Caenorhabditis elegans: one gene and its partners. The protein of the gene in region 1 interacts with the protein of each later gene in a pairwise test. Each region holds a gene or a part of one and is shown on either strand. Other genes may lie near its edges.

Evidence for each region.
Region 2: the proteins of mpk-1 (region 1) and mig-5 interact in a two-hybrid assay, tested with the Caenorhabditis elegans proteins (3 studies listed by BioGRID).
Region 3: the proteins of mpk-1 (region 1) and spdl-1 interact in a two-hybrid assay, tested with the Caenorhabditis elegans proteins (4 studies listed by BioGRID).
Region 4: the proteins of mpk-1 (region 1) and ifo-1 interact in a two-hybrid assay, tested with the Caenorhabditis elegans proteins (3 studies listed by BioGRID).

What each region holds. Positions count from the first base shown.
Region 1 is NC_003281.10:4,224,538-4,231,332, forward strand, and holds the start of mpk-1 (Mitogen-activated protein kinase mpk-1), read right to left. Parts: upstream 3,558-6,795; coding exon 3,354-3,557; intron 1-3,353. Other genes in the region: F43C1.5 (uncharacterized protein), read left to right, coding at 4,660-4,728, 4,774-4,890, 5,011-5,150, 5,202-5,278, 5,352-5,573, 5,816-5,856; Nuclear hormone receptor family member nhr-20, read right to left, coding at 6,086-6,181, 6,240-6,397, 6,446-6,561. UniProt on the Caenorhabditis elegans protein: Functions in let-60 Ras signaling pathway; acts downstream of lin-45 raf kinase, but before the lin-1 gene product in controlling vulval cell differentiation. Plays a negative role in proximal germline proliferation in the mitotic zone.
Region 2 is NC_003280.10:8,180,556-8,187,582, forward strand, and holds mig-5 (Segment polarity protein dishevelled homolog mig-5), read right to left. Parts: upstream 4,469-7,027; 5' UTR 4,454-4,468; coding exon 4,415-4,453; intron 4,349-4,414; coding exon 4,200-4,348; intron 4,146-4,199; coding exon 3,992-4,145; intron 3,951-3,991; coding exon 3,875-3,950; intron 3,823-3,874; coding exon 3,345-3,822; intron 3,303-3,344; coding exon 3,180-3,302; intron 3,134-3,179; coding exon 2,808-3,133; intron 2,760-2,807; coding exon 2,235-2,759; intron 2,085-2,234; coding exon of another isoform or gene 2,072-2,084; coding exon 1,923-2,071; 3' UTR 1,768-1,922; downstream 1-1,767. Other genes in the region: dylt-3 (DYnein Light chain (Tctex type)), read left to right, coding at 1,263-1,269, 1,315-1,754; cct-1 (T-complex protein 1 subunit alpha), read left to right, coding at 4,891-4,966, 5,011-5,434, 5,479-5,784, 5,830-6,486, 6,645-6,831. UniProt on the Caenorhabditis elegans protein: Plays a role in the signal transduction pathways mediated by multiple Wnt genes. Functions redundantly with other dishevelled family members throughout development.
Region 3 is NC_003280.10:7,778,913-7,784,771, reverse strand, and holds spdl-1 (Spindly-like protein spdl-1), read right to left. Parts: upstream 3,207-5,859; 5' UTR 3,186-3,206; coding exon 3,150-3,185; intron 3,102-3,149; coding exon 2,859-3,101; intron 2,813-2,858; coding exon 2,489-2,812; intron 2,441-2,488; coding exon 1,808-2,440; intron 1,763-1,807; coding exon 1,559-1,762; 3' UTR 1,421-1,558; downstream 1-1,420. Other genes in the region: skr-17 (Skp1-related protein), read right to left, coding at 303-807, 857-894; snpc-1.1 (snRNA-activating protein complex subunit 1), read left to right, coding at 3,563-3,660, 3,709-3,793, 3,844-3,921, 3,967-4,035, 4,081-4,290, 4,335-4,653, 4,715-4,796, 4,843-5,127 and 1 more. UniProt on the Caenorhabditis elegans protein: Transient kinetochore component required for chromosome and spindle pole alignment and chromosome segregation during mitosis.
Region 4 is NC_003282.8:7,319,936-7,329,812, forward strand, and holds ifo-1 (Intermediate Filament Organize), read right to left. Parts: upstream 6,729-9,877; 5' UTR 6,728-6,728; coding exon 6,635-6,727; intron 6,584-6,634; coding exon 6,509-6,583; intron 5,876-6,508; coding exon 5,810-5,875; intron 5,392-5,809; coding exon 4,586-5,391; intron 4,544-4,585; coding exon 4,447-4,543; intron 4,349-4,446; coding exon 3,349-4,348; intron 3,018-3,348; coding exon 2,598-3,017; intron 2,550-2,597; coding exon 2,301-2,549; intron 2,254-2,300; coding exon 1,759-2,253; intron 1,712-1,758; coding exon 1,573-1,711; intron 1,526-1,572; coding exon 1,443-1,525; intron 1,392-1,442; coding exon 1,206-1,391; intron 1,126-1,205; coding exon 956-1,125; 3' UTR 799-955; downstream 1-798. Other genes in the region: sqst-2 (ZZ-type domain-containing protein), read right to left, coding at 7,951-8,354, 8,611-8,715, 8,762-8,912, 8,957-9,025; ocr-4 (Ion transport domain-containing protein), read right to left, coding at 9,744-9,877.

The DNA of each region.
Region 1 (6,795 bases):
TTTTTGGACCGTCTCGCGAAATGGTTACTGTAACAATAAAAAATTTTCGATTTTTCTTTTAAATAATTGGTTTTTTATATAAAATTCCTGGTATTTTGTAACACATTATTTTATTAAATTTAATCTTTAAAAAATATTATCTTAAAAGTTGAAAAAAATTTTCGCGTTACAGTAACCATTTCGAGGGATAATAATAACAATCATTTAGCGTTTGTAAATTTTGCAAGGTCGAGGTAAAAATCCCACCACGAATCGGAAAATACAAAAGTATCAAAAATTCAAAACGACTGTTACCACCAAAACTGAAAAAAAACGATAAAAACCATGAAGTGCAACAACCGCCTTCATTTCTTCTTCTCCAAACGAAACATGAACAAACAGTAGCCAAATGGTTGGTTTTGTTAGGATTTCAGAGTGAGTGCCAGTAGACTTCCCTTGGCAAACAATGCGTGTGTTCTATTCTCAGCCATCTCCGGGGGGCAAACAGGGGGCGATTTTCGGATGAGACATCAAGGAGAAGCATCAACTAATGTAGACGTTGTGGTGCAAATACACTTAGAAGCCCTTTTTGGAGTAGAGAAAAAGGAAAAAAAGAAGAAAAGACGAGTTTCTCCATTTTTTGAGTTAAATGAGGCGAAGAGGAAGGGAAAAAAGTATTCAAATGACTGGATCTGCACCGATGAGCACAACACGTTAATGAAGTTCGAATAACGAATTAAAGGATATAGGATGCATGTCTTTTTAGTTCGACATAGAAAAAAGGAGTATACTTTTCTATTTTCCTTTTTGCAGTTGCGAACTATCATTTTTTGAGAGTAAATAAAATCTCGCGTCACTTTTTTCTTTTGCAAAATCTGAGATTCTCGCCCAAATCACAAATCCAGAGATTAAGAAAACGCGGAATTTTCGATGAAATGGAAAAGAGAAAAAAAAATCTCTCACAAATGAATTATTAGAGTTTGGAAAATTAATCGTTTTTATGTTACGATGAGATTTAATGCGGAATATGGAGCTAGCAAGTTCAATTCTGAAAGTCGCAAAGTAGAAAAGAACCTGCCGAAATTTTTTTGAAATCCATATAAAATTTTAATGAAAATCGATCTTTTGAACGAGCTCTTCTTGTCGTCCGCATTTCCATCTTAAATCTCAAATTTCGAAGCGTGTAATTCTACGCTTTTCTCTTCTTTCTAACGTCTTCAATTTCTTCATCTCCTCCTACTCATCATCTTCATCGACAAATAAACCAACGCGTACAATTACGGTTTTACGATTCCGAGGAGAAGAATGATGAGTGTTGCTCTTCTTTCATATCAAATTGGTTTTTTCTTCCATGCAGCTCTCCACGCAACAATAAAAACCGAACGAAAATGAGAGGAAATCCGACACAAAACACACCCAATTCCGAGGAAAATTGAAACATATGTGTTGTCGAATGAGTAAGAATTTTGAAAGAAGATTCAATTCGAGAAATAATGTCGGGAAATTCAGTTTGTCTCAGTTGCAAAAACTTCCGGGATATTGGAAACGTTCCGAGTGAGAATTTGGCCAATTGAACATATGAGTTTTATAATGTTCAATGCCTTTTTCAACTTATTTCCATGGTTTTTCAGATGTAAAATTCCAGATTTTCAGATTTCTGGTTCAGAATTGAATATCAGATTCTCAAATTTAAGGAAAAATTGGTAGTCGGAATTTTTGTTTTCATTTCCTGTTGAGTTCGCATTCATTCTATATAGAAGAAACTATAGATTCATCATGACAAAAAATGGTATTCAACAATTGTAACAGATGTATGAAGTTATTAGATAAAAAACTAATTAGTTTCTGAAAACTACTACTGAACACTTTAACTCCGGAAAAATTCAATTTCGATACTGTGAAACTACAATGAATCAATCTACATTCATTTTGAGAAACATAAATAATACACAAAGTACCTCACACCTCTGTCAGTCATTCACCCGGGTACACAACGGGATTTCAAAATAATAGTTTGTTGATGGAAAGCGGGTAGAAGATAGATCAACATCAATTATTAGTGTAAATCCTCGGGGTTCCCAAAGGAATACGTGTCAAAGTACAGTAAACTGTAGCTCAAGTCCGGAAAAAAGGAAAAATCTGGGTCATCTAGGCCAAACGCACGAAGAAAACTTCCGGAAGATGGATTCTTGTATTTGAACACTCCTTTTCGATTTTTCCTTGTTCGTTTAAAAGTTCTGATTTTCGGTTTGAAAAAAAAACATTGTTTTTCTCTCCAATCTCCGCTTGCACGCTGGAATGTCAATCAGACGACCAATTCAATTAATTCTATTAGATTTTAGATGTCTTAACTGGAAACTTTAGAAGAATGCAAATATATTCAATTTGGGGGACACTCAGATTACGGTAATTTGTAGTGGAACCTCGAAAATACAACTATTACCCAGTAGCGAAATTTTAGGATTTTTACGCCAAAAAATACGGTACCCAGTTTCGATTTTTTAAATAGTTTTTCTCATAATTAAAAAAAAACCTTTTTTTTAATTTGAGGTTAAAAAAAATTTTATCGAAAAATTTTGATGAAAATTACACAGCAAAGTTTAAAATTACAGTACTCTTTAAAGGCGCACACTTATTTGCATTTACCAAAAAATGTGTCGTTTCGAGACCGGGTATCGCATTTTGGGATACATACGAAATGTTCAAGTTGTGAACAGTTTTTTTCTACTAGCAGAAATTCAAATTTCGTTGAAAAACTACGATTCTAAGAGGTGTTCCGGTATAAACTAAATACGTCAATGAAGTGTCAATCTGCAAAAATCATCAAACCTTCAAGCTTAAAACACAAAGCACAATTTCTGGTTTAAAATTTGAATTTTTTCATTCAAATCAACCATTTTCATTGAGCTATTCAAACTTTCACACTTCCGTTTCTCTCTTTTCCAATTCAAAAACTACCAATCAACGTCACATCACTAATCTTTTCTTCCAGCACACACACACAGTACTCTGTCACGGTAGTCTTAATAGGCTAATAAAAGTACAAAGTTAGTGGTTTTGATGCAATACGCAACTTATTTTCCCGATAATGGGAGCACAATGGGCAAATCAACCCGATTACGTGCTATGTTCTGATTATTTGAACATTGTGCACTTTTTTGAAAACGTTTTGTGAATTTTGCAATTAAATTGAATGACTTAATTTTTTAATGTATTTTTACTTTCTAATTTAAATTCAATGTAGAAATTCAATGCAAAAATTTCAAATTTTCCAACTGACCAAAGAGCATTTTAATATTTTTCAGCTTCTAAAAATGCTTGTTTTTGTTTATTTTTCTCCAACTTTTTTTTTCATATTTTCTTATCATTCGTACCTTTCTATGTCCTGAACGAGTGTACTGCCATTTCTGTTGTCTGACGTGGTTGGTTGCTCCATTCGGTATGTTGCTCGAATTACGGTATGCCAATGATCCCGGAGCAGATTGTTGTTGTGTCGCTTGTGGATGCCCGTTCGATGGTGGTTTAGCATTTCTCGTTGTCGGCTGTGCGCACAAATTGTTAGGTATCCACGTTGGCATCATGTTTCGTGGTTCTGAAATTAAAGAATTATTAGTTTTATGAAGAAGAAGTTCTGGCAACGGATAAAAATATTTGAGAGTGTGAAATATTTCGTCGGAAAAGAAATTTCTGATATTGCAAAGGAACTTTTTTTGAAAATTCCCTCAATTTACCAAATTTAACTGTTAAAAAAAACTATAGATTTCTTTTTCTGAATTTTTAATGATTTTTTTCAATTTTGCAAAAATAAAAGAAACGGCTCCATGATTTTTTTTTTGATTTTTTTGTGAAGAAAACTTGACGACCTGAAATAAAATTTCGGAAACTTTAAAATCAGTTCAAAATTCGATTATTTAACTATTATTTCATTTTTTGTTTAAAAATGTATGAAAAGTGAAATTATAAAAATCCATGAATTTTGCCAGAAAGTGCAAAAATTCAAATTCCCTTCCGCCGATTTTGTATTTATATTTCAGCGAAATTGAATAAATCATTGAAAAATTAAACACTGTTTTTTTTTACAGATATATTCGGGACATAAGGCAAATTTTCGTATTTTCTAGCTCAATGGATACACTAAATAAAGGAAAAAAAATCGTATAGAACTTTTCCCGCAGTAAAAGTAAAACTGGCCAACTATGTAAAAACAGAAAATGCAGAAAATCTATTCGAAAGTTGTTTTTATGAATAAAAAGTCTATGAGTTTCTCCTCGTCAATTAATTAGCTTCGTCAGAAAATGCATAATATTGTTCCTGTTTTGAAGCCATTTATCTTTTGTATGGTTTCCCAAATCACTATGTTGAAGTAAAAAAGAGCAAAAATCATTTATGATGTCAGAGAAAGCTTTTTTCCGAACTTTAGAGACTCTAACTTGCAGTTTTTCAAAAAAAAAACTCCGAGTTTACTAGCAATTTCACTCCAAATTCTGCCTATTTTCCCTGTATTTTTTCATAACTCTCTCACCGCAGACCGATAATACAATCACCATTGTACACACACAACACTGTCTCATTCTTTTTGACCGCCCACCCAAAATGTTTAATATTTGTACGAGCGTTCTTCTTCATAATGCTGACTCATTTCATTTTCAACACTATTTTTCAGCTTTTTCTAACGAAATAATGACGGATTATGATGACTATGAAGACCGATCTGGTGTGGTAGAAGAAGAACTATTGGATTTTGATAGAGTACGTCTAGAATCAAATTTGGCAACAAATTTTCAAAATATTCAGGCAATGCTGGACTTTCAAGCTATGTTTCCCAGTCTAAGCAATTCACATATTGAATATGTTCTACGGAAATATGATGGAGATGTTTCAGCCACTATTAATGAGCTACTTTATGATAACGTATGTTAATTTTTTTGTTTATAGAAATTATTGCTTTACTACACGAGAAAGCACTGTCAGCGAGAATATTGTATCTCAATTGTTCAAATTTCGATCGATAAATTCCAAAAATAATTTCAGACGCCAACTACAACGACTTCTGAATCTATTCCACATGGAGGAGACTTAACAAAATTAAGGCAGCGAAGGCATGAAATAAACGAAAAACTGAGAGAAAATCAAAAATTTTTGGATACGGTTACAGATGTGGAAATTGCGAGGTAGAAAATAAAATTATTTATACACTGAAAATCGTGAGAAATAAATTTCAGAGCATATGAAGACCAACAACTGGCCTTATTACTTGAACACCGAGAAGTGAACACCCTTATCAGTGAGGAGAAAAAGAGTGAGCTTTTATTTTTGGGAAAATATGGGAAAAACAGGAGAAAATAAACACGTGGCGTCACAATTTCTTTCAGAAAAGTCATGTTCTGACTCATCTTCTATTCAAGAATCGCGCCGGCATGTGAAAATTCCCGGGAAAAATTCGAAAAATTCTAAAATTAGTGTGAACAAAGCGAAAAAATTGGAACCGAGACGACGATCGGACGAAGATCGTGTTCCAGATGGACCATACATCGGGGAGGGAGAAGTAAAATCGGAGAATTTCGCGGCGAAAATAAAGGAAACGTTGAGAAAAGGTGGGGTGGCCATGATTTATAGGGTCGCGAGACTATGTTTAGTTGATATTTCGATAAAACATCTGTGAAACCATTAAAAATCACAAATTTCCCGCAAAAAATCAAAGAGAAATAACGATTTTTGCAGAAAAAAACAAAGAAAATTAAAAAAAAATTTTTTTGAAAAATGAAAAGTCCGCAAATACGCGTGGCGGTGTTTGCGTATTTCACCAACTACCGTACCCAAATATTATTTTTTTCAGCTTCCGGATCACGAATTTCGAGATTATTTTCAGCACCATAATCTAAATTGTTATTTTTTCAGTTGTTAAATAAAAAGGAGACTCATAATGAATTCATTTTATTTTATCACATTGCAGATTGATCACATTTGAAATGCGCAACTATATTTTGTATTAGGAACAGTAAATACAAGAAAATGGGAGACAGAAGATGAGAGAGAACCCGTAAAATGTTGATTTTTCCATATAAAGTATTAAAATATTAAAAACAAAAAAAGAAAACAAATTCCACTAAAGTGTCAACAGGGATTTTGAAAGAGCATCTAGCTTGAATAGTTCGAAAAGTTCCGCCGATTTGTAGGTTTCCATTATTAATTGATTCATTTCCTGAAAGAAATAAACATTATTTTTTAGTCTCATTTATCAGTTGTAAATGAAAACTTACAAAAACAGTTCCCATTAACAAAATGAGATTTCCTATCCTCATGCCAGTTTCATCAGGATTTCCGTACAAATCATCATAATAATTGTGTAATCCGTTGAGCAATGCTTCTTCGTGTTCCTTCCCGATTACTTTCATACTTGGAGTAAATTCACAGTAACCTACAAAATATTTGATTTTTATTAATTTCTCACTAGATGAATTCTAACCCAGTTTCCAAATGCACAAAGCTTTAAGAGCTGCAAATTCCACGTGTGTCATTTTTAAATTCCGGATCGGCCGGCAAATAGCGTCATTGAAGCGACCCAAAAAACCAAGAAATAGCCTGAAAAATAATATAAAATTCAATTGACCAAAACATTCAAGTTTTCAGGACAATTATTTGATGCAACATGAATGAAAAAAGGTCGTAGTGACCTTATTTAACAGTAAAGTTATTCCTAATTCACATTTTCTATTTGAATTTCAGTTTGTGTTATATTAACTTTAAAAAATTTTTCTTCATGGTGCATCGATAGCCAAAAATTTGGTTCTCTCTAGAGAGCTCTCAATTCAAAAT
Region 2 (7,027 bases), on another chromosome or scaffold:
CGATATATCAAAAATTGACTATGAAAATATAGAAAAATATGTGATACCTTTTTGCTGTTAAATATCTTTTGACAAAATCAAAGATAACCGGCATGAGAGCTGTCAAAGTAGAGCAAACAGGATACAAGACTAATAAAAGAAATATAATAAAGGTGCATACATAAAGCATTCACTATAAAATAACTATGTTTTCCAATTTGTTTTCAAGAAGTTGCACAAAGCCATTTTAAATTAATTTTCATTGTTATAATTGAATATGAAGTTAAATTTTTCCATTCCAGAATTTACAGGAAATCTAATTAAATAGTTTGAATGGAAACAGAAAGAAACGTTCCACAAACCTTGATCAAGAGTCTGTAGACATTATTGAGGTGCGCATATTACAAAAAGATTTATTGAATGATAGATATAAGAGGGATAAGTGTTAATGACCGGCTCATCTACAAACAATTAAAGGATGAGAGAAAGTGTTTGTGATGAGAAAGGCAAACTTGCCATGACGGACCGGAAATACTTTTTGTCTATTGGACTGATGATGACTTTTTGGATATTAGAGGAACTTCAAAGGTGAAGGTTTTTTTCAGTAAATGTTTTGGTCACTTGCTACATTTCCAAAACTGTGCATTTTCTGAGTAATTCGCATCACATTTAAGTAAACATTTAAGAGTTAATGAAATTTCAAATTATGAGGAAATCATAGTAGGAAGCAGAACATTTTCCGTAAATCACTGATGGCAAGCTAATCAGTCAGCTTTCCCCCCACTATTCCTTCGAACCGTATTTCCGTCTTCCACCACCCACCTTTGTTAGCTCAACCGACCCCTGCAAACATGTCAATTTCGGATACGGAACGCCATCAACATTACACAATTTCTGTGTGTCCGGTGCTCCAAACTGGTGCACTTTTAGTGTAAAATCTGGTACAGAGCCGCGGAAACAAAACAAAAACTTAACAACACATTTTATAATAAAATTAATTTTTTCGCTCCCGGTCGGAGATGCTGTGCCCACACCTTTTTGCATTTAAAAACAATGTTTCGTGTCGAGACCAGGTACCGTGTTTTTGGCACAAAAAGCGCAAAATTTTCGGGTCTAATTGTAAGTAATATTTTGAATTGGCACTAAACACTTCGCCTTCAGAGCGTGTTCTAATTACACGCACTGTTAAAAAAATTTATACCAGATTCTAATATATATATCAAATTTAGAAAACAAATGTTTATCGCATAACTTTAATTATTTCATTCATTCCTTGTTTCAAAATGACAGGTTAGTTTTCTTTGTCACATTATGCAACATCATTTGAAATTTTAGACACTTCTACAACTTCTTCTGTAGCAAAGCGGCAAATTGAATCAAAAAACGCTCAGCTTTTGAGACAATTGATTGAAAAGAAAAATAAGAAACTCAAAAAGAAAGTCTATTCAAATGCCGAAGAACAAGAAATTGATTTAATTATTCAAAAATCATTTGATTCAATAATTGGTAAAACTCCATATTCTCCATTCAAAATGTCTGATTGGATGAGCAAGATGATCCAAACAATTTCGGATAATTTAGTGAAGCTCAATGGAAGCAAAAAGTTTTTGGTTCATTGTACTATTTCTGCAAAAACCGATAATCTTGCAATTTGCACGGCCAACATGTGCTCCTGGGATACTACGAAGGATACTGCATACTACTCGGAATGGATGTCTAAAACTATCTTCGGTGCTGTCCAAGTCTTCTTCATCACACATCGTTTTTCGAAGTGAACATCGTCATGAAGAAATTTAAAATAATTCATAAATAGACTCAAAATTACATGAATGAATGAAAACGTTAGTCTTACTGAAATACATGAAAACAGGGCATAGTTTTAAATATTAATAAAGCATGTGGGAATTAAGGCGAGAATCGGTAAAGGCAATGAGTTTTAAATTTTAAGTCCGTAAAATACGCGTTCTGCTGTTGCTACTGTTCTCCCCGTCGAAATCGTGGTTGACTGCGTTCTGCGACTGAATCGGAGAAGCTGCTAGAACCATAGTACTGGATAGAGGAGTCGGCGGAGGGCCTCCTAAGCCACCACTTCCTGGAATTTGTAACTAATTTGGTTGGGGAAATACTGTTATGTGAAAAGTCATTTGGATACAAAGGGTACAGTAGTCAAGAAACAGCAAATACTATATCAATTGAAATGAATATTTGCTTCAAATTTAACTCCTGCACCCTATAGAAACGATTAATTTTCTCACCGTTTGTCAAGCTTGAGGATGTCACTTGAGAAGGTGCCGGTACCTGACGGTGATTATTTTTCGTCCCAAAAACATGATAATTTCCGACTGGATTCATTCCAATTTGGCTTTCTCCGACCATCGATGCGTAATCATTTGTCATAGGACTCTCACAATCTCGACGTCTTCGAAGCCATGTTTGGTCATGAGCAACTGGGCTTAGAGTAGTGGTTTCTAATCGATGAGGAATATTTCTTCCAACTCGTGCTGCCAGAGCATGTGGTGCTGGTGAGCCAACATACGTCACTTCAGTAGTTGCTTCAACTCGCATTGTAGTTCCACTCGTACCAGTGGTGTCCGTGGAATTACGATCATTGCCAAGAATTCCATCACCGAATACATAGTAGCACTTTTCTGTGAATGTCAACTTGCTGACGACATGTCTGATAAGACCAGCAGCTAACAATCTCGCAGCATAGATTCTAGCTTTCTTCCGATTATGAATATCAGCCATGTGATCAACGAGCCAATCGACTAGATCTCGGCCTAAACGTTGATTGTTTGGATCCTAATACTTGAATGTTCAGTACTCACCAATAAAAGACATTGGAACCAAAATTTTCAGCCATTTTCGATTTTTGACAGCTAATCCTGAATCCGGACGAGCCATAGAACGAACAACAATAATGGGATCAATCATTTCTGTGAGTTGCTCTATTTTTTCATTTTGCTCATTTTCTCGTTTTCTTTCTGCTTCTTCAATCAAAGCTCTTGGAATTCCATTTCTACGTTGATCGTAAAGCATTCGCTCCTCATCATCAGAAGCTGTCGATGTAAATGGAAGAGTTCCGTCATCAATTGTAGTTGCCGTTTGCTCCTGTGGATCCAAACCCAGAGCTTTCATTTTTTCAGTGTTCTGCCTGTAAGTATCAAATTAAGAAAATAAATCTTGCGAGGTACCCTTACACAGCGGTTTCTACCCAAACTCCAACGTCGAGGGGCATCGTTTCAGACGCCATGGACGCGAGTGGATCATCATATTCACTTGGGGCACCTCTTGCAAACTTACTGATATAAAGAGTAATTGGTCTAAAAATTAAAAAAAATTAATGCTAATGCGTAGAAAAATACCTTTTGGAGGATGCAGCTTCTCTGAGCGAACGAACTGCTTGAGGCCCACTGAGTTCTTCAAAGGATACTCTATTAACTTGAAGAATCTGATCACCAACGTTCACACGTCCATCTTTTTCAACGGCACCTTCTGGTGCAATTTCGGAAACGAATATATGACCATCAATTGTGCACACGCTCAGTCCCAGATATGGAACATTTTTCATTGGTAGATAAATTTCCAGAATTCGAGGGAGGCCGCTGTTAACACTTGATTCCGTCGCTGAGCTAATAGTACTTGGAACATACGGTCTTCTGAATCTTTCTTTCTTTTGTTTTTTCCTTCTTCTATCGTCATCGTATATCTTATTCATATCACGAGCAGCGAGAGGTTCGTAGAGCGAAGAATCATCTCCTGTTCGACGTGTATGCTCGTCATATTGATACGGATCCTCTGAATTTGAAGTGTATAATTCTGCCAGATGCTCTCCTGCTCTTCCTGAAAAACGTTCATACAGGTTTTTAAGAGTACATAAATAGCAAAAACTCACTGCTAACAATGGTGCTCGGAGCAAGACTAGCATCAGAGTACGGAGTCGCGTCAAAGTCTGCACTTCGTCGGCGGCGCTTAAAATATCAGTTTTTTTTGAAAATAACAGAAATCGAACCTTATCTAGAGCAGTTCTCTGTGGTCGCGTCATTGTTCCACTGTTTCGAGGAAGAGTTCCATATCCTGGAGTGCTAACGAGAAAAATCTCATAAAATCCATTCTGGGATTTGCGCAGCCGATCCGAATCAGTTGTTAATTCGACTTTAACTTCTCTGAACATTTTTCAGTACAGAATAATTACAAAAATTAAAAAAGCCAAAACTCACCGTTGAATATCCGGGTCAAGTTCCTTCGCATAATACTTATATCCACGCTTGGTGAATGAATTTTTGAAATTTCCAAGCGTCGCTACTCCTTCTCTGGCTTCAATAACAGAAACATAGGGAGTCGTTTCATCGTCGAGATAGTAGAAGACCTGGAAGAAAATTATTTCTGTTTAATCACTGGCTTAATAAAAAACAATTCTGATCAAAATTCTTACTTTTATCTGGCTGCAGTCTGATGTGCATGGCGGCTCCATAAATGTTAGAAATCTGAATTCAATATTTTAAATTATAGACCAATAAAATATTTATAAAAATTACAAGAGGAAACAAAAAAAACAAATTTGTTTGCAAAGGACTAGCGGAAACAATTTTATTTTTAATTTATCGGCAATAAATCGCGGGTGGGAACAATGTTGCAAATACGCCCTAGTGACAGCTGGTGTTGGGTCTCGGCACGATTACCCTTCTAGCATGCATGAAGTACGATGCGCTCTGAGAATATTCTACAAGAATTTTAATTTTGATTCAGAATTCAAGGGATCCCCGATTTTCTGGAAGCATTTTTATTTTTACTGAAATATTTTCATTTTTACGTATATTTTTATTTTTGAGTGCTTATTCAAAGCCCCTTTTTGACTCAATATCGAATGTCCTACTCTATTGCTAAGTTAATACGGTTGTGTTTCAGGTAATGGCATCAGCTGGAGATTCCATTCTTGCCCTCACCGGTAAAAGAACTACTGGACAAGGCATCAGATCTCAGAATGGTAACACCGAAAGCTCAATATAAGTATACATTAATTAATTGCAGTCACCGCGGCAGTTGCGATCGCCAATATTGTGAAGTCATCTCTTGGCCCTGTCGGACTTGATAAAATGCTTGTCGATGATGTTGGAGATGTCATTGTCACAAATGACGGAGCCACAATTCTGAAACAACTCGAGGTTGAGCATCCGGCTGGAAAAGTGCTTGTAGAACTTGCACAGCTGCAAGACGAGGAGGTCGGAGATGGAACTACTTCTGTCGTTATTGTGGCGGCTGAGCTCTTGAAGAGAGCCGATGAGCTTGTGAAACAAAAAGTTCATCCGACGACTATTATCAATGGTTACCGTCTCGCGTGCAAGGAAGCCGTCAAGTACATTAGTGAAAACATCTCATTCACTTCCGACTCGATTGGTAGACAATCAGTTGTCAACGCTGCCAAAACTTCCATGAGCAGTAAGATTATCGGACCGTGAGTTTGGTGTTGTCTATGCTTCAAGAAAATTGATTTTTCAGAGACGCCGATTTCTTCGGAGAGCTGGTTGTTGATGCCGCGGAAGCTGTTCGTGTGGAAAATAACGGGAAAGTCACTTATCCTATCAATGCAGTCAATGTTCTGAAGGCCCACGGAAAGAGCGCTCGCGAATCAGTTTTGGTGAAAGGATATGCACTCAATTGCACAGTTGCCAGTCAGGCCATGCCACTTCGTGTTCAAAATGCCAAGATCGCATGTCTCGATTTCTCTTTGATGAAGGCTAAGATGCACCTCGGTATTTCAGTCGTTGTTGAAGATCCAGCCAAGCTTGAGGCTATTCGCAGAGAGTGAGTTGAAACTATTCGTTTCTTTTTAAGCTATGGAATTTTCAGAGAATTCGATATTACCAAACGCCGCATTGATAAAATTTTGAAAGCCGGAGCCAACGTTGTTCTTACAACTGGAGGTATCGATGATTTGTGCTTGAAGCAATTTGTCGAATCTGGAGCTATGGCTGTTCGTCGATGCAAGAAATCAGACTTGAAGAGAATTGCCAAAGCTACTGGAGCCACATTGACTGTTTCCTTGGCTACTTTGGAAGGAGATGAAGCTTTCGATGCCTCGCTTCTTGGACATGCCGATGAAATTGTTCAAGAAAGAATTAGTGACGACGAGCTCATTCTCATCAAGGGACCGAAATCTCGTACTGCCAGCAGCATTATCCTCCGTGGAGCGAACGATGTGATGCTCGATGAAATGGAGAGATCGGTTCACGACTCACTCTGTGTTGTTCGTAGAGTTCTGGAAAGCAAGAAACTTGTGGCTGGAGGAGGTGCTGTTGAGACTTCTCTCAGTCTTTTCCTTGAAACTTATGCACAAACCTTGTCTTCTCGCGAGCAGCTTGCTGTTGCTGAATTCGCTTCAGCGCTTCTCATCATTCCGAAGGTTTTGGCAAGCAATGCTGCAAGAGATTCTACTGATTTAGTGACAAAACTCCGCGCGTACCACTCCAAAGCTCAATTGATCCCACAACTTCAACACCTCAAGTGGTAAGTGAAAATGTTTTTTTTAAAGAGTAGGTTATTACATGTTAGCTTAATGTAATAAAATTAAAATAATTTATTTCAAAAAATTTCGTTTTGTGCTTAGAAAAAGCGTCTAATTCATGTTTTCTGAATTTGAGTCAGTTTATTCACTCTTTTTTTAGGGCTGGTTTGGATCTCGAAGAAGGCACGATCCGCGATAACAAGGAGGCTGGAATTTTGGAGCCAGCTCTTAGTAAGGTCAAGTCTCTGAAGTTCGCCACTGAGGCAGCCATTACGATATTGCGTATTGATGACCTCATCAAACTTGACAAGCAAGAGCCACTTGGAGGAGATGATTGCCACGCTTAAATTTTCCCGTTTACCCCGTTTATATATCCCTGTTTTCCGCGTGCTTCTCACATAATTCCGATCTGCTGCTCCTTATCCCAAATTCTCATGTTCAGCTTTTGTTTTCTTCTTTTGATGATACTTTATTGAACGAAATGTTGTAAGTTTTAATGTTTTGATTTCAAAGTTGTTTGTATTCGTTTTTCATTATTCAAAC
Region 3 (5,859 bases), on another chromosome or scaffold:
AAATTTTCAGATCCATATGATTGCGATGAAAACTTCCGACGCCTAGGAAAACCTCTATTGATGGCAACATCTAGTACTCATTTTCTTGTTTTTCCATGATTTCAACTACATACAAATGTGATTTTTTATAAAGTAATTTTCATTGAGCGATCCTATGCAATTTTAAAGATATAATAAATAACAAACAAAAATAGTATTCAAAGAATAACTCGATTGCAATTTGACATGGCTGAAATGATTGTTTCCATAATACCGGTTTTGTGCAATTGAAATATTTGAAGATCGAAGATAGTAACAGAAAATTAATCATCCCATGTAGCAGTCGATGTAGATGGTTGTTCCCATGGTTCAGGTATTCCGAAAAGTTCTCGCATTTCCTCGGCATTTTTTCCTTTCGCAGAATTGGCAACTGTTTTGCAGCCGTAATTGATAAGTCCGGTAACGTCCAAATGATATGCAGCAGTAATCAGATCGAACAAATTTGACATTGGCAGTCTACTGAGAAAATGTCTATCCCAGGAAGGAATGCAAATATTTTTCTTGTCCTTCTCGGCCAGTGCAATTGCAGGATCATCTTCTTTGTGTTTATCGCACCATTCAATCAGTAATTTTAATGTAAATCCAACAACATTGTTCACAGGTACCGGTTTTAATTCAGCACAGTATTCCTTGTCATATCCTAGCTCTCTGATGGTTGCAGCAAGTGTACTTGAGAGGAGGAGGGCCCGGATGTCTCCCTGCAACAAATGTCCATCTGAGGATGTCAGTTGAAGTAATCGAGGTGGCGGACCGGACGGCTTTGGTACACTAAACGAAATATTAGATAATTATTTTTATCAAAATGTTATAAAAATACCTTGGTGGTGCTCGTTTTGTATTGTTCTTCTTCGGCATCTGCTTTCCGGACGAAATGTGATGTCTGAAATGGAAAAATTAGAAAGGAAACGAAATTTTGCTGAGAAAATGATCTTAAAAACTTTTTGTCGAACACCATTCGCCACAGAGCGCATTTGCGTTCTTGTTCTACTTCATTCGGCGGCAAATTCAAATTTTAAAACACCCTCGCACAACACAAAAAATCATCGTAAATATTAAAAACGATCAATATCATGCGAACCCCACACCAGAACAAATTCGAACGGTTTACAATTTTTAAATTTTAAGCTCTCTCAAATGTTACTAGTAGTAAGAACTGAACCTATATCGAAAGCATATCCATACGAGATCTCCGAAGATTGTAGGGAAGAGAAAATCTGGAAAATATTTTTCTATATTCTACCCCATATTTACAATAATAAATATTAAAAATATATAAATCAATAAGTGATCGTGTAATATCGATAGGGTTTCGCGCTCCACTGCACTCCCGCCAGCGGCTCTATCAAGTTCTTGAACATCAACAATCTAAGAATGAGCGTTATAATAAAAATAATTTTATTTGACATGCATTAAATAGGAAACATTGTAGAATAATCGACAAAACTTGGTGAATAGAGGGGACGAGATCAATACAGGCGGTTTTATATGAATACGAGATGACTACGAACATGATGTTTACTCAGTTTTCCTTTGTTTCTGAGGTTGATGGCATTTGAAGAACAGCCGGTTTGAATTTTGGAACGGGCTCGGACAGTTTGATATAGTTGTAACGCGGCGTCGGAGTCGCCAATTTCTTTTCAGCTTGAGCTTTCATACGACGTTCTGCCCATTCTGAAGTATCATCTTTGATGGAGGAACGAGTGGTGAATTTAGCTGCTGGTTTCTGGAAAAATAATTATTTATAGTGAAAAGTTGCACTTTTATCTACCTGTGGCGTAACGGCAATACTGGATAATGAATGCCCTAATTGAGGCATGGGTTCCACGTTTTTCGGTTTAATGAAGAATGATGGTCGTCCATTGTTAAGAGTTTTCAGAGGAGCAGCAAGAAGCGGGTGCTCGAAATCCTTATTGACAACTGGTGCAGCTTTTCTGTGAGCACATTTATTGTCGAATTGTAGTTGCACAATGTCCGCTTTGAGATTTTCTACTTCCTGTTGCAATCCACGAATAATTGTCACGTACTTTTCGTTGTCCTTCATCAAACCGTCAAAACCTCCTTTCACGCTCGCAATTGACAATTCGAACGACTTGAAGTAGCCGGTAATCAACGCTCCCACTTCGCGTTTTGGAATTGACCTCATTTTAATGAACATTCTTTCCCACAAATGAACCCTTTCCGTTTCCAGGTGACAAACTCTGTCTCTGAGACGACGCATCTCTTTGACATCAATATCACTTGTGGTCATTCGGGTAACGTTGAATCTTTTTGTGGATGACCGAAGTCTTTCTTCGACTTCTTCTACTTCCATTCGAAGACGTTTTACCATCCCTTTCAGTGCTCGATTCTCTCCATGAAGAACTTTCAGGTCTTCTTCAACCTTCCGCTCGGCATCAATAACCTGAAGAATATTAAAAAAAATGCAGTTAATTGATATTTTTTAACCTACCTCAGAAAACATTGAATTTCCGCGTGCCGCTAATTTTCCTTCATGGGAGTTTCTCTCATCAAAAAGCTCTCCTTCCAATCTGGCAATTTCCTCATCACGCGTCTCCATATGATTTTTGAGGTCCCGAATATGATCCATCATCGACTCAATTTCATCTTTCAAGTTGACCGCTTCTTTTTCGAGTTCGGCGTTTCGTTCGTAAAGAGCAGTCGCCGTCTCTTTGTATTTCTGACAATCTTCGCTAATACGAAGCATTTCAGATTCTCCGAAGGAATTGGAATCATCATGTTCGGGAATCACTGATCCGTTGGCAAACTCCTTATTCTGAGAATTCAATATATTAATGTTGCCCACAATGATGAAAACCTACAATTTTTTCGAGTTTGTCGATCTCACTACGCAGTGAATCGATGAGAGCGTCCCGATCAAGAATTGTGGCGTTTTTTCCGTCCATCTCAACATGAAGATCGCGAAGTTGTTCACTCAATTCTTGTGCACGTTCTTCGAGTGAAAGTTTGGAAGAACAAGGTTTTCCCTGATTTTTGAGATCGTCTTCCATCTCCTCGAGCATTTCATCTTTTTGACGGAGAATTTTCTTGAGCCTCTCAACGTCCTGAAATATTAGGTTTAGTTGGTAATAGATGAAATGATAAAACGTTACAGCAAGTAATTGGAGCTTCTCCTCGTCGTCAGGCATACTGATTGAAGTTCGATTCTTCTGAAAACATGAAAATGTTTCGATAGAAAACGATCAGTAGAATATTTTTCACGGCAACACGATTTATAAGAACGTTTCACGCAGATCTATAGCTTTTGATGTTTTAATAAAGCGTAAAATTGATTGCGAATATATTTAAACTAATTTTATGGGAATATTTTGAGCTAAATTATATCAAAACGATTGAAAAACAATATTTTTAGGTAAATTGAGGCGCAACTCATTTTGAAATGCGTTGAATACCGCTGGTTCCCGCCGAGAATTGGTTGTTCACGATAGAGCGCACTTGCATGTTTTTATTTTCGTCAATTATTTTCGGATTTATTTCTGAAGATTCAAGGAAAAAACGAGTCGCAATGGCTTCTGGAGGTATTCCCACGCCATTTATGGGAACTGGAGTTAAACAAGATCTTCATTTATTGTGCAACAAGTTTATATCTATGGGATCCAACAGGTATAGTTAGAAAATGTATTATTTGATGGAAAATCTTGATTAATTAAGAATTCGAGACTTTGCTGATGTTTTTCGGGATATGCATTTTGAGACCATTCTTCATTATCGATTAAATCCTGCCGAATGCTTAGAGGTAGCTTTATTTTGATTTTATTTAGTCTATTATAATATTCCGGCTTTCAGTTTACTGAATACCTGTTACAACACGCAGCAATGTATTTCGGAAAAGTGAATGAAGTTGGAGCATTCAGGGCATTCAAGGTTTGAAATAGAAGTAAAAATAAGTCTGAAATGTTATATTTTCAGGAGAGGCTATTCGGAGTTTATGTTTGCTATGCGTTGTACAATTTGCAGCCAGTTGATCATGTCTGTCAGGTGATTAATTCTAAGTTTAATTTAGTTTTAAAAAATTTAATTCAGATTCCGGTCACTGCGGTACAATTCGAAGAGCTTCTCGAATTTCAAAAATCTTTAGAAGTCGAAAAACTTCTTGAACCAATTGCGGCTCTCAAAATGCTTATTCTGAAGAAAGCGTTTAGAATTAAAGTGTTTCAGTCGACATATGATCCGGCAACCCACAAAAAATACCTTGCCGAGGAAGAGTTGCCCTATTTTAACAAAATTCCAGTTGTAAGTAAGTTAAATTATTGGAATTTTTTCATAAACAGTTTCAGGAGCCGTTTTCCAGTGTTACGAAAATGCTCAGTTCTGATATTATGACGGAATTATCATTTATTCACGGAGTTTACACAGAGGCTAAGCAAAAACTTGGACTAAGTGATACTCTAACGGGGCTCAAATCACCATTACACGAAATCAAGGGCATTGTCGAAAAATATAAAGAACAGTTCGAAAGTTCTCCAACAAATCCAGAAATTAGTAGCGCTCCAGAGGAAACAGCTGGTTCAAGCAGATCAACTTTGAGAAGTAAAGCATATGCTGAAGGACTAAAACACACTAGACAAAGAAGGCATCTTGATCCAAACATGGAAGGTACATTTATTACACGAAAATATGTTTTTTTTTTTCAAAAGTCAGCGTTCAACTTTTGCAGAAAACTTCAAACATCTTACCGCAAGAACGTTTGGTGACATCGCCCAGGAATGTTTGGATGATAATGATGCTCAGGTTCCAATGTAAGCAATTACAGTTTAACCCCAAAATAATAACCTATTTTTACAGCCCGATTGATCGCCCTGTAAGACAACGGCGACGCAGAAAAACGACAACAGTTAATCCTGAAGAGTTATTAGACGATAATGCATTGGCTGAAGAAGTTCTACGAAATGAGTATGCTGCCAGAATAAAGCCTGAAATACCTGAAGATTCATTGGGCGGTAAAGTAGGCAAGCAGGGAACATCGGGAGTTGCAAGAATTCGGGCACCAAAACGTGCAAATGCGAAATTGGTTGAAGTGAAACGAGAACAAATCCCACAAACTTCTGCTCCGATAACTGCTTCCCAAATGTAAGTGAAGATTTTTGTTTTTTTCTTCAATTAAAAATTATTAAATTATTCAGTGACGAATCATTCACATCGCCTGCGAACAAGAAGAACAGAAAATCGGCCAGCGTAGTTGAAGTGAAACCTCGAATCAGTGATGAATGGGCCAACAAACTGCACGCATGGCATGGACAAGTCGAGGCTACGGATAAACATTTGAAAAAGTTGACAAGTCAAATTAAGCTGGAAGTTATTGAAGACGAAGAAACATAATCATTTCATTTTCCTTGCTAACCATTTTTTTTAATGAAAATTATACTACATGAATTTTTTTTTTGAAAATTAAATTAAATTTGCTGCTGAGTTGCCTATCATCTCCGACTTTTGTTATTTTATTAATCTCTGTTGGTTCAATCTTTTCAATCTTATACTTTTATCTGTCCAACTTCCAATTATCACCAGTGATAAATCGCCGCAAAAGACCAATTGAAATGGCCTGATATCGTGCATTACATGATTATTTCATACAGTTATCATCTTGTGCTGTAGCCCATTCGTGAAAGCATTGAGTGCACTTTTCAGAATCTTGTTGTAGTTCTACTGAAAATTGGTTTTAATCCTATAGGATAAAATTTTCGTTTGTGATGGGAAGGCAGTATTGAGAAATTGTGGTTTTCGTTTGAAAACGTACTATGCTAAAGTTCTCTTCAAATGACGATTAGTTCAAGGTCTTGCTTAGTTTCCCATTCTTTCTTG
Region 4 (9,877 bases), on another chromosome or scaffold:
AAGATGAAGCTCGAAAGGATAATGCCCTTTTCGTAATGAGAGAAAGAGAGAATGCACTCAATTCATCAAGCCTCCCTCACAGAGGAACTAAGAGAGAATGAAGCGACCCAAAAATGAGAGATAGACAACAAATGAAGAAACGCAGGAAGTTAGAGGAACAGAGAAGCCCCCCGCATCCTCTCATTTTCAGGCAGACCGACGGAGAGAAAGAGGCGCGCGCGCACGCGTATGTTTCTGTTTCTGTTCTGCGGCTGTTCCTCGTTGTGGAGAGACGTGTGACAAAAAAGTTAAGAAGCACTGGGTAAATATAGAGAGATTTTGAGAAATTGAGAACAAAAAGATACGAGAAAGAGAGCGCGCCAGCGACCGGGTAGGAGGCGGCCGTTGTTGACGGGGCCCCCGGAAGAGTTAGAGGTGAGAAAATAGTGGATGGGATGAAGAGACGCAGAGAAAAAACAGAGAAAGAAAAGAAAGGCGTAGAGACTATGACACTAACAATGTATTTATATAAACATTTCACGTTAGTCATAAGGGATACGTTGGACATTGCAAAAAATATGAACAAGTGTATGCATTTTTTTTTGTTGGAAGATCCAAAATGTTTGTTGCCAAATTTCAATTTTCGGTGAGTGGCATGCAATGATCTATGGTCATTAAACTGGAAATTGGTTCAAAAATATATTTTCTGAAAAGATAATCTTACGGCCCTCATTGCATTGTAATTTCGAGTGTCAAGTTCTGAATGTTCCCCCTGGGCCTCATAAGGAAATGCTCGTTATTCTTGGCGGGGCTGGACTTCACAGTTAAGTTTATTAGAAAATGTTAGGAATACAAACAAAAATTGAAAATGACAGGTATTTTCTGACCGAAATCGGAAGATTAAGAATTGTTGAATCAATTTGAAAGTCTAGAGGCAATGAAATCAACGGAGATGAAATTGTTTCTTATTCGGAATTTAAAAATTTGGTCCATCGCCGGACAAGGAGACCGGAGAGAGCATTGAAGTGTCATCTAGGGCCTTGTAGACACGACGAACACGGATTGACTCCTCGTCTGATGACTGACGATGATAGTATGAGTTGTGTTGAACTTGGACAGGTGGAGAGTGCATCACTGTTGATGAAGCTGAAAATTCTGATTGTAGAAATATTTATTATTAGACGTTCAGCGGATGGTGATAATTCTTTTAGATTTTTCAAACTTACTTCTTGCTGAAACATCAATCCTTTGTGCACCACCACCAATAGAATAACCATGTTCACTGTGCTCATCTACAGTACCCTGGTGCATTTCATGATGATGACGTGTCATATGATCTTTACTTCCATGCTCATGGAGTTCAATCTCATCAAGTGGAATGCGGGGCAAAGAACGTGGACGAGGTTTAATCTCTGAATATTATTTTGAAACTAAAAAGAATCAGCTGACGAAATGTCAAATACCTGGTTCCAAGTGATGACCAGGTGGTGCAGCACTGACACGGTAGATCACTTGCTCAGTTGTCAGTGGCTTCTCGTCGGGCTTACTGGAATTCGAGAATTAAAATCTAGAAATTAAAAAGAATCTACGAACTTGAAAAGTTTTGCCAAATTTTTGACATGTCCGACATGAACTGGCTGGTAGTCCAAGGAAGTTGTTGATTTACATTGATGAGCAATGTTTTCCGAATTTTCAACACTGTCAAAATGCACATGCTGGTGATGATTGTGTTCTGAAATTACGAGATTTATAGAAACACCTCTTTGAAACATGTCATACCGTGATAGGACTCTGAGTTTCCGTTTTGAATTTTCAATGGAGCTGGAATATTTTGGCGATTCAACGAGTTCGAGCACTGAACAACAGTTCCCGTGGTAGTTGCAGTTGAAGCTGTGCTCACATGAGAAGTGGTGCTAACTCTTGAATCTTCTCTTTTCACAAATGGTGAGTTAACCGGAATGTGTGCCTCAATGTGAGCTCTCTTTGATGATTGAATATTTTGTTCATCCCAGTTGTTGGTCTTGCTCATTTGTCGAATCGATTGGTTGCTTTGAGCCAGCTGATATTGAATATCTTTCTCATTTTGAACCGAGTGATGATGGTGAGCATTTTCATTTGATGTTGTGTGATAGTGATGAATATGTTCATTTTCAGCTGTACTGTGTTGATGAGCATTTTCATCTTGATGATAGTGATGAACATGTTCACTGCCATCTGTATGATAATGATGATGATGATGGTGTTGAACGTGAACAGTGTCATAATGGTGATGTTCTGAAACAGAAAATTTTATATTTTCAATTATAATTTAAATATTTTACCTTGATCGTGTGGAATATCATAGACAACTTGTCCATGTGGTTCATCATATACTACACTTCCTCGATGAGTTTGTGATCCATGAACAGTTGAATACTCTTGAGCATTCGAGTGTTGAGAAGTAGCATAAGCATCATAATGAGTCGCCTGATTCTGATTGATTAATTGAGAATGTGTATGAGTTTGGACGGTATTTGAAAGCATATGCGAATGAGCTCGACTCTCGTCGTGAGAATCTTGGACAACAGAGGCTGAAAATACACTTTCTTAGATATAAACAGTTTTAATCAGATCATTACCATCCTTCGCATTGTACCGTTCGATATGTTTATGCACATAATCAACATTTCCAGCAGAATCAGAGTGATCTCTTGGGGATGCGGCATCATCGAGACGTGGAAAATCGATAGTTTTGATCTCTAATCCAGGCGTCGTTGGTCGAGAGTTGGCACGAGAAACTGGATGACTGACTGGACGGGTTTGACTTAGAATATGATTTTCTTCATTCATTTTAAGCAAAAATCCGTTGCGGTAGATCAACTCATGGAAAATGACAGGGCCAAGTGGCTTGTCAATATGCTCGTCCAAAAATTCTTCGGATTTTGGAGGTGGCTGCCATGTTCGTTTCGGTTTCTCCGGGATAGGTTCTGGAACTGCCACTGGGACAAACACCGATGGAATAAGAATAGGCTGTGATACTGGACAAGGAGTGTTCTTGCCTGAAACAGTAAAAATTTGGTGGGAATGATGGGAATTTTAGCTATTGATATCATTCAAAAAGCTGTCATTTTCACCGAAGATTGCAGGGAAATCTATACTACTATTATCTATTTCATCTTCCATTTCTAGTCAAATTCTACAACACACTCACGATTTGGTAATTTCCTTTTATCACATTTAATCTTACAAGGTGAAGATGGGGTAGAAGTTTCTATAATTCGATTGGAAATTTCATATTTCGTTTGAATACAACCTATTCTACGTATCAACTTTGCTTTTATGGCGGAATCGTTGCTTCTTAACTTATTATTCAATCAAAAGTCAACTCACTTTCTTGAATCTCTTCATATGCATGTTCTTCTTCGTATTCCCGTGCTGCCTTAATCTCATTCTGAAGTTCCAGATATTTCCTTCGCTTTTCTTCTTCCAAAAGTCTTTCCCTTTCTTCTCCTCTCATTGCTCTTTCCATTTCTCTAACTCTATCAGTGACACTCTTTTCTAATCCCAAATTCTTTTGATCATTGGATTGATTAAAATGTGGAGACACTGATACATCAAGAGCGTCATTTCCGATATAAAGATCATCATAATGACGTTTAGCTGGCACTGGAACTGGCTCTGGTTCTTCTTCAATTACTTCAGCTGGAGTTGCAACGTGAATAATCTCTGCTGGAGGTGGAGGTGGTGGTGGAATGTAAGGAAGCAATGGGACGAATACAATGTGATCGTGATCTCTAGTGTAGTTCAGAACATGAACAACTATTGGTGGTGCTGGAGGTGGAAGTGGAGGTAGTGGAGGTTCATACACTTCCTCGTATATATGCTCATCGTCCAATGTCACAGATTTCTCTTGTACTTCATATTTCGTGTCTTCATATGGACAATATGCCGGATATTCCTCGATCACAATTGGCTCATGAAGAATGTCTTCAACTCGATGAAGCACTTCATATCTAGTTGACAGATCATAGTAATCTGGGAACGACGGAATTACAATTTTACAATGATCCAAATCTTTGGTATGCGACAGAATGATACGATGAACATTGTCATAGTAATCAGCAAATGGCCCAATTTTATATGGAATATGTTCAAGTCCAGGATCACGACTGAGAATGATTTGAGTGGCGTGATCGTAATAGTCTGGGAACGAGAAAGACAAATGGGTAGGGTGATGTGGGAGATCTTCTGATCTATTGAGCACAGTGTATGCTGGCTCCGGGGTCTTTGGAGGAGCTGGAGATGGAAGTCGTGATGTTCCGTCGTAGTCCGAGTACTTTTCTAGATAGTCACGAGAGTAGGAATAGTGAAGTGGGCGAGTGATGTTGCCCTGAAAAAAATTGGATGGACTGAGAATAATTTGGTTCTATTAAATTTACAAGTCAAGTATTCAAAAATTGTCTTCCAATTCAAGTTTTTTTTGCTCACCTGATAATAACCTTTTGCATCCAAGAACATGAACTTGCTCGGATCATAATAATCGTGATATCCTTCTGGCATTTCGATTTCTGGTGGGAATGTTGTTCTATAAAAAAGTTTAGCAATCAATTACAGATTTGGTACTCACTTGAAGTCATATTTTCTCTCATAAGTGCTTGAATACACATTTGTGGTAGATGTTCTATGAATTGGCTCATCATAAATGTGCTCCGACTTCTTCGCTGGCATTTTTGGCATTACTTCTTGATTTTTCGCTGGTGGAAGTGGTGTTCCATAATGTCCATATCCAGATACATAATTTCCATATCGAGAATTGTAGTCATGACGAGTGTCAACACTAAACAAATTGCTTAAGGACTTTGTAGTGGAAGAGACTTGATCCAAACGTGGTCGTGACTGAGTTGAAGAAGCAGTTCCATGAGTTTCAGAACTATGTTGATTGTTAGATGTTTGATGTGCTTCGTGAGCAACTGATCCCATTGATTTTGACCTGGACATTCCAAATGAAGTGTATGCATCTCCATTACTTTGATGATAAACTGGATGAACTGAAAGAGAAAGCTCACGAGTTCTGATGTGGTTCTCTTCTTTCTCAGCAAAAAACTTGGCGATTCTTGCACTAATATCCTCTGCCACTTCGTTGAATTGATTCATTCCGAAAGGATGATCTCCAGCTCTCACAGTCAGTGTTCGATCCTCCAAAAGCCCAGAACCACCATCTTCTTCATAAACTGCAAGTTCATGATCCCATTCTCCGTGCCCTTGTGGAAGTCTTTGTGAGACGACATGGCGATGAGACTGATCTTCTTTAATGAGCTCTTCCAATGGAGCATCAACAGTTTCCACGTATTCCAGGCGTTCTTCATCATTTGGTCCGTAATCCTGTGTGCAATCCTCGAGGCGTTGAACTTGATCCGGAGATGGTACAGATTTCTGAAAGGAGGAATTATGAATATTTATTTCGTTGATTTTATTTGAAAAACTTAAATATCGAAAACGTTTATTTTCTGCATTTTTGTTGTTTTTTAATTCTAAATGTTTGCACTCTTTTACTATTTGTTTCATAAATATTGAACTATGAAATAACCTTTTTTGCTGTTTTTTTAAAAACAAAAAATAGATGAAGCATTAAAACATTTCTGGTAGTTTTTTTACATACAGTTTATCACATTGGTAATTCTATGTACAATGCACAATCATCTTCTAAAATAGTCTTCAAAAATAGTCTTGAAAAGTTCAATATCGTATTAACGATTTATCAAAGCATTATAACACCTGTTCTTCAGAATGATACGAATTTGTACCCAACCCAAAAATAACAAAAACAACTTTCTCATTTTCAAAAACTCACAGATCTGTAAAACTTTTGTTCCACGTACACCCTTGTCAAAGATCGCCCACGTCGTTGTAGATGGTTCTGAAAATACTTTCAATGTTTGCCACGTCATCATCACCCCGAATCGCCTACTTCCTTCTCATTTTATGACACTTGCACAATGCTTCTAAACAAAAAGAAATGGCATCTGTTATCAGTGATTGCGGCCGAAATTTTGATATTTTACTACGCACTGTGGCATTTGCAATCCGCAATTATGATGACTAATTAAATTTTTGGAAGGTAGGAGGGGATTAAGAATGAGTCAAAGTTGAGGTCGAAATTTGGAAAACATAGTTTCTCTAAAATACTAAACTTTTGTGTTTTGTGGTTTTTGTGTGAAACATCGAAATTAAATCAGAAAAAATGATTAAAAGTTAAGTGCACATTTACCGTATTTTCACTATTAGACTTGCACCCAAACTGCTTTATTTATATCTTGGTTGTCTTTTATAACAGTTGTTTAATAAGCAAAATATAGAAAAAATAGTATGCGCGTATTTTGTCAGTTGGCAATTTTTTGATAACATAAACCCAAAGTGAACCGAGAGCTGTCAAAGTAGAGCAATGAGTTGCAAATATCGTAGGCGAATTGCGGAATTTTGAAAAATTAGTCCAAAATAAAATTAATGCCAGCTCTTTCAAAAAAAAAACACTTTTAAAATAAAAACAGACCTCATTCTTCTTGGTGGTCAATGCATAGATGTATCGACGAACTCCCAGATATCCACGTCCGCGATTTTCTGATCTCTGAAAAAACCAGAAAATTTACATTTTCTATGGATCTTGAACACAACTTACATCATTCTCTCTTCGAATTTGTTCATCCAAGTCCACACATTTCTGTTTAACGGCTACAAGTGCTGCATTCAAGTCGACTTGTAGGTCTCCCATGCTGAAATCGTATTCGAATTTTGTACAACGGACAGTTGAACTTGAGAATTCGTAATTTCAGTCGTGAAAAAGTTAGGAAAAAATTAAGCAAACAACAAAGAAGTTTGAAAAGGTAGAGTGGAAGTAGTATTCCTTGAACTCGATGGAAAATTCCAACGAAAAGAGTCAATAAAAATGTTGGAATAGTGTAGTAAATGGTGGGTGAACAATCAACTGAAATAGGCGCAATTCTTTCCCTCTCTGCCAAAAAATGTGATAAGAGAATCTTTCTTTGGTGCCTTCTTCTTCTTAACAACATCTTATCAGTTTTTGGTGCGTTTGGAGGAGGAATGCAACGGGGCCGCCCGTTTTTGACTCCTTCATCGCTTTCTCCAAAATGTTGAGCAAATATCAAAGTTTATGATAGGTTGAAGGGACTGAAAATATTTGTGTAACTCAGAATCAGAATATGTTCAAATTTGAGTTTTATTGAACAAAAAGGAGAAATAACATTTTCAGAGAGGTTTTAGTAGGATTTGAATTGCAGGAGTGAAACTAATTTAATAAGCGTGGGCAAAAGTTAATAAGGGCAGTGACAATCAAATTTTGTTTTTGAAAAAGTGAAAAATCATGAACGCGTCATTGGTGATTGCGGAAGAATAAATAAGGAATGGGTAGGTACAATAGACTGCTTTGGCTGAGTTGTAGAAACCTCCCACGCATGCAAAAATGCCTACTTGCATGCTTTCAATGCACAGTAAGCGTTGGTCACTTTCTAGGTGTCAGGCAGGTAGGCATTTTCTAATTACATGGAAAAGTGTTCTATGGAGCCAATTAAAATAGAAATTTTGAAACATTGTGTTAATTTTAAGACAATTAAAAATTGGAAACATGGCCTACAAAATGTTTTTGAAATTCTCAATAAAGGTGGTCCGCGGTGTTATTAATTCTAGTCCTACAAGTCAATAGGAATGAAAATTCAATTGGAACAGATTTCTGAAAAGCACAAGAAAAATTTAATTTTAAAATTCAAAATAAGAGGGAATTTTTTTTTTTGTTTTTTTTTTTGCGAGATAGATTTCAGGAAATTAAAATTGAATGGAGGATGCGTCTTGGTTTTTTGCACTTCTGCAATTACATAACTTTTTTGGTCTTTTTAAGTATAACAAGATAGGACAGAAATCCGACAGAAAAACTAAGTTCACAACATAAATAGGAAAAACAACAAAACTATAAAATACAATTTAAAACCAATGATAATGTTCTCTTTTGATATCATAACGATGTTCTGGGAAAATGTAACTTGGGGCGTTAACTGTGACATAATCAGGAATACTTGTAACCCTTGGAGTCACAATTCGTAGAAGAGCATGCTCGTAGTGAACCAAATCTTTTTCACAGTCTCCACAAATATCATAGTCTGGACATTGAAGACAGTGATAACGGCTTCCAACAATTATACGGAAACAGTTTCGGCATGGAGTGTCATGATGGACGAAGTTTCTTATTGAATCATGATGATGATGATGGTGATGACGTTTGTTATCGTTGAATCGAACAGATTGATGGATTGAATGTTGAGATGGAGTTCGAATTATTGGAACGTTAACTTCGTGATAATTACGGCTTATGCTTCTGGGACGGTAATCTGAAAAATTAAATTTTTAAAAATTTTGTTACTATTAGTTTTGAGTTACATAAGAACACACCTTTGCAAAACAACTTGAAATTTCTCAAAATTTGAAAATAAAAAATACTTTGAAAGATCATTGTTCCTTTTTTTAAAAAAACTTAATTTGAATAATTGAATTTTCAAATTGTAAGATTATCTAACAAAGAACTAACAAGGTTGTTATAATAGGACTATGGAACTGTTTTTTAAAAAGTTTTCCGTAAAATCTTACCTTCCAGTCTTATATGTAGATGTGGAAGAATATGATCAGGATTTTGAACACATTCCATAACTTGCACTGAATCATTCAACTCGTTTTGAGCACCAATTGTACTATCTATTAAAAAATTATTACAAATATTTTTTCATTTCAAAAAACTCACCCGAAAATAGACGATAAACACCATTTGATGGATACAATTCGTGTGCAGCTTCAATTAATTTTTCCATTGCGTTGAACTTATTCAAATACAAAATCTTTGATCTGTGATAGTTATTATGGTAGAATGAGACATGAATATCCCTTGGAATCGTCTGAAAACAGTTTTATTACTGAAATCGAATATTCTTGAAGTTACCGAATATGATGGAGTTCTTTCATATCTTCGTTCTATGATTGGTGGTCTCCTGTATCGAATACTACTCATTTTTGTTGACCCAAACTAAATCAAAACTAAAAAGTTAATCTATAGAAGTAATGAGCAATTTTAGAAAAAAAGTTAGGAAGAGTCGAGAAGTGAAAATGTTGATTTCAGCGCCAGTGAAACTCTTGTCAAATGCTGAATGATGCAGTTTTTGATAAGATAACATTCCACTCGTTAGTCATTTTTGGAGAGCAAAGCAAAGAAAAGAAGAAGGCACATCAGAGAATGTTGCATTTTTTGAAATATCTGAATTGACTTGGTATAACACTAGAAATAACACTAAAAACGATGGGCATTCTCTTGGGTGAGTTCTTAATCCTTTTTTAATAAATAAATTTTCAAATTGAACTGACAAAATTTGCCGAAATAAACTAACAGTATGCCGCTTGTGGACTGGCTGAGCAGTTCGTTTTGAAAGTTTTCATATCGTTATACTTGATTATGGTTACTGCAACAGTACCAAAAAATAGTAAAAAACACTTTTAAAATGTTCTAAATTAAACAGTCTTAAATAAAAATATTTGAATGCAACATATTAAATCCGGAAACTATTTGAGACATCCATTTCATTTAAAGTTTTCCACTGCCAAATTTAAAGGTTTCTAAAAAAGCAAGATTGAGGAATCAAAGAAGAAACATCAACTTTCCACATTTTTCACTAACAAGATCCAACATTTATTAGACAAATTATTTTAGGAAGAGAATGAAACAGTAAAAAAAATTAGCCGGTAGGAATAATCAACTTATTATTAGTATGTCGATGCTTCGATTTGAAATAATTTGCTCCTTGCTTGCATATAAATACTGGCCGTCTTCTCTGGTTTGTGCGAAGTTCCTCACGGAATTTACGACGCT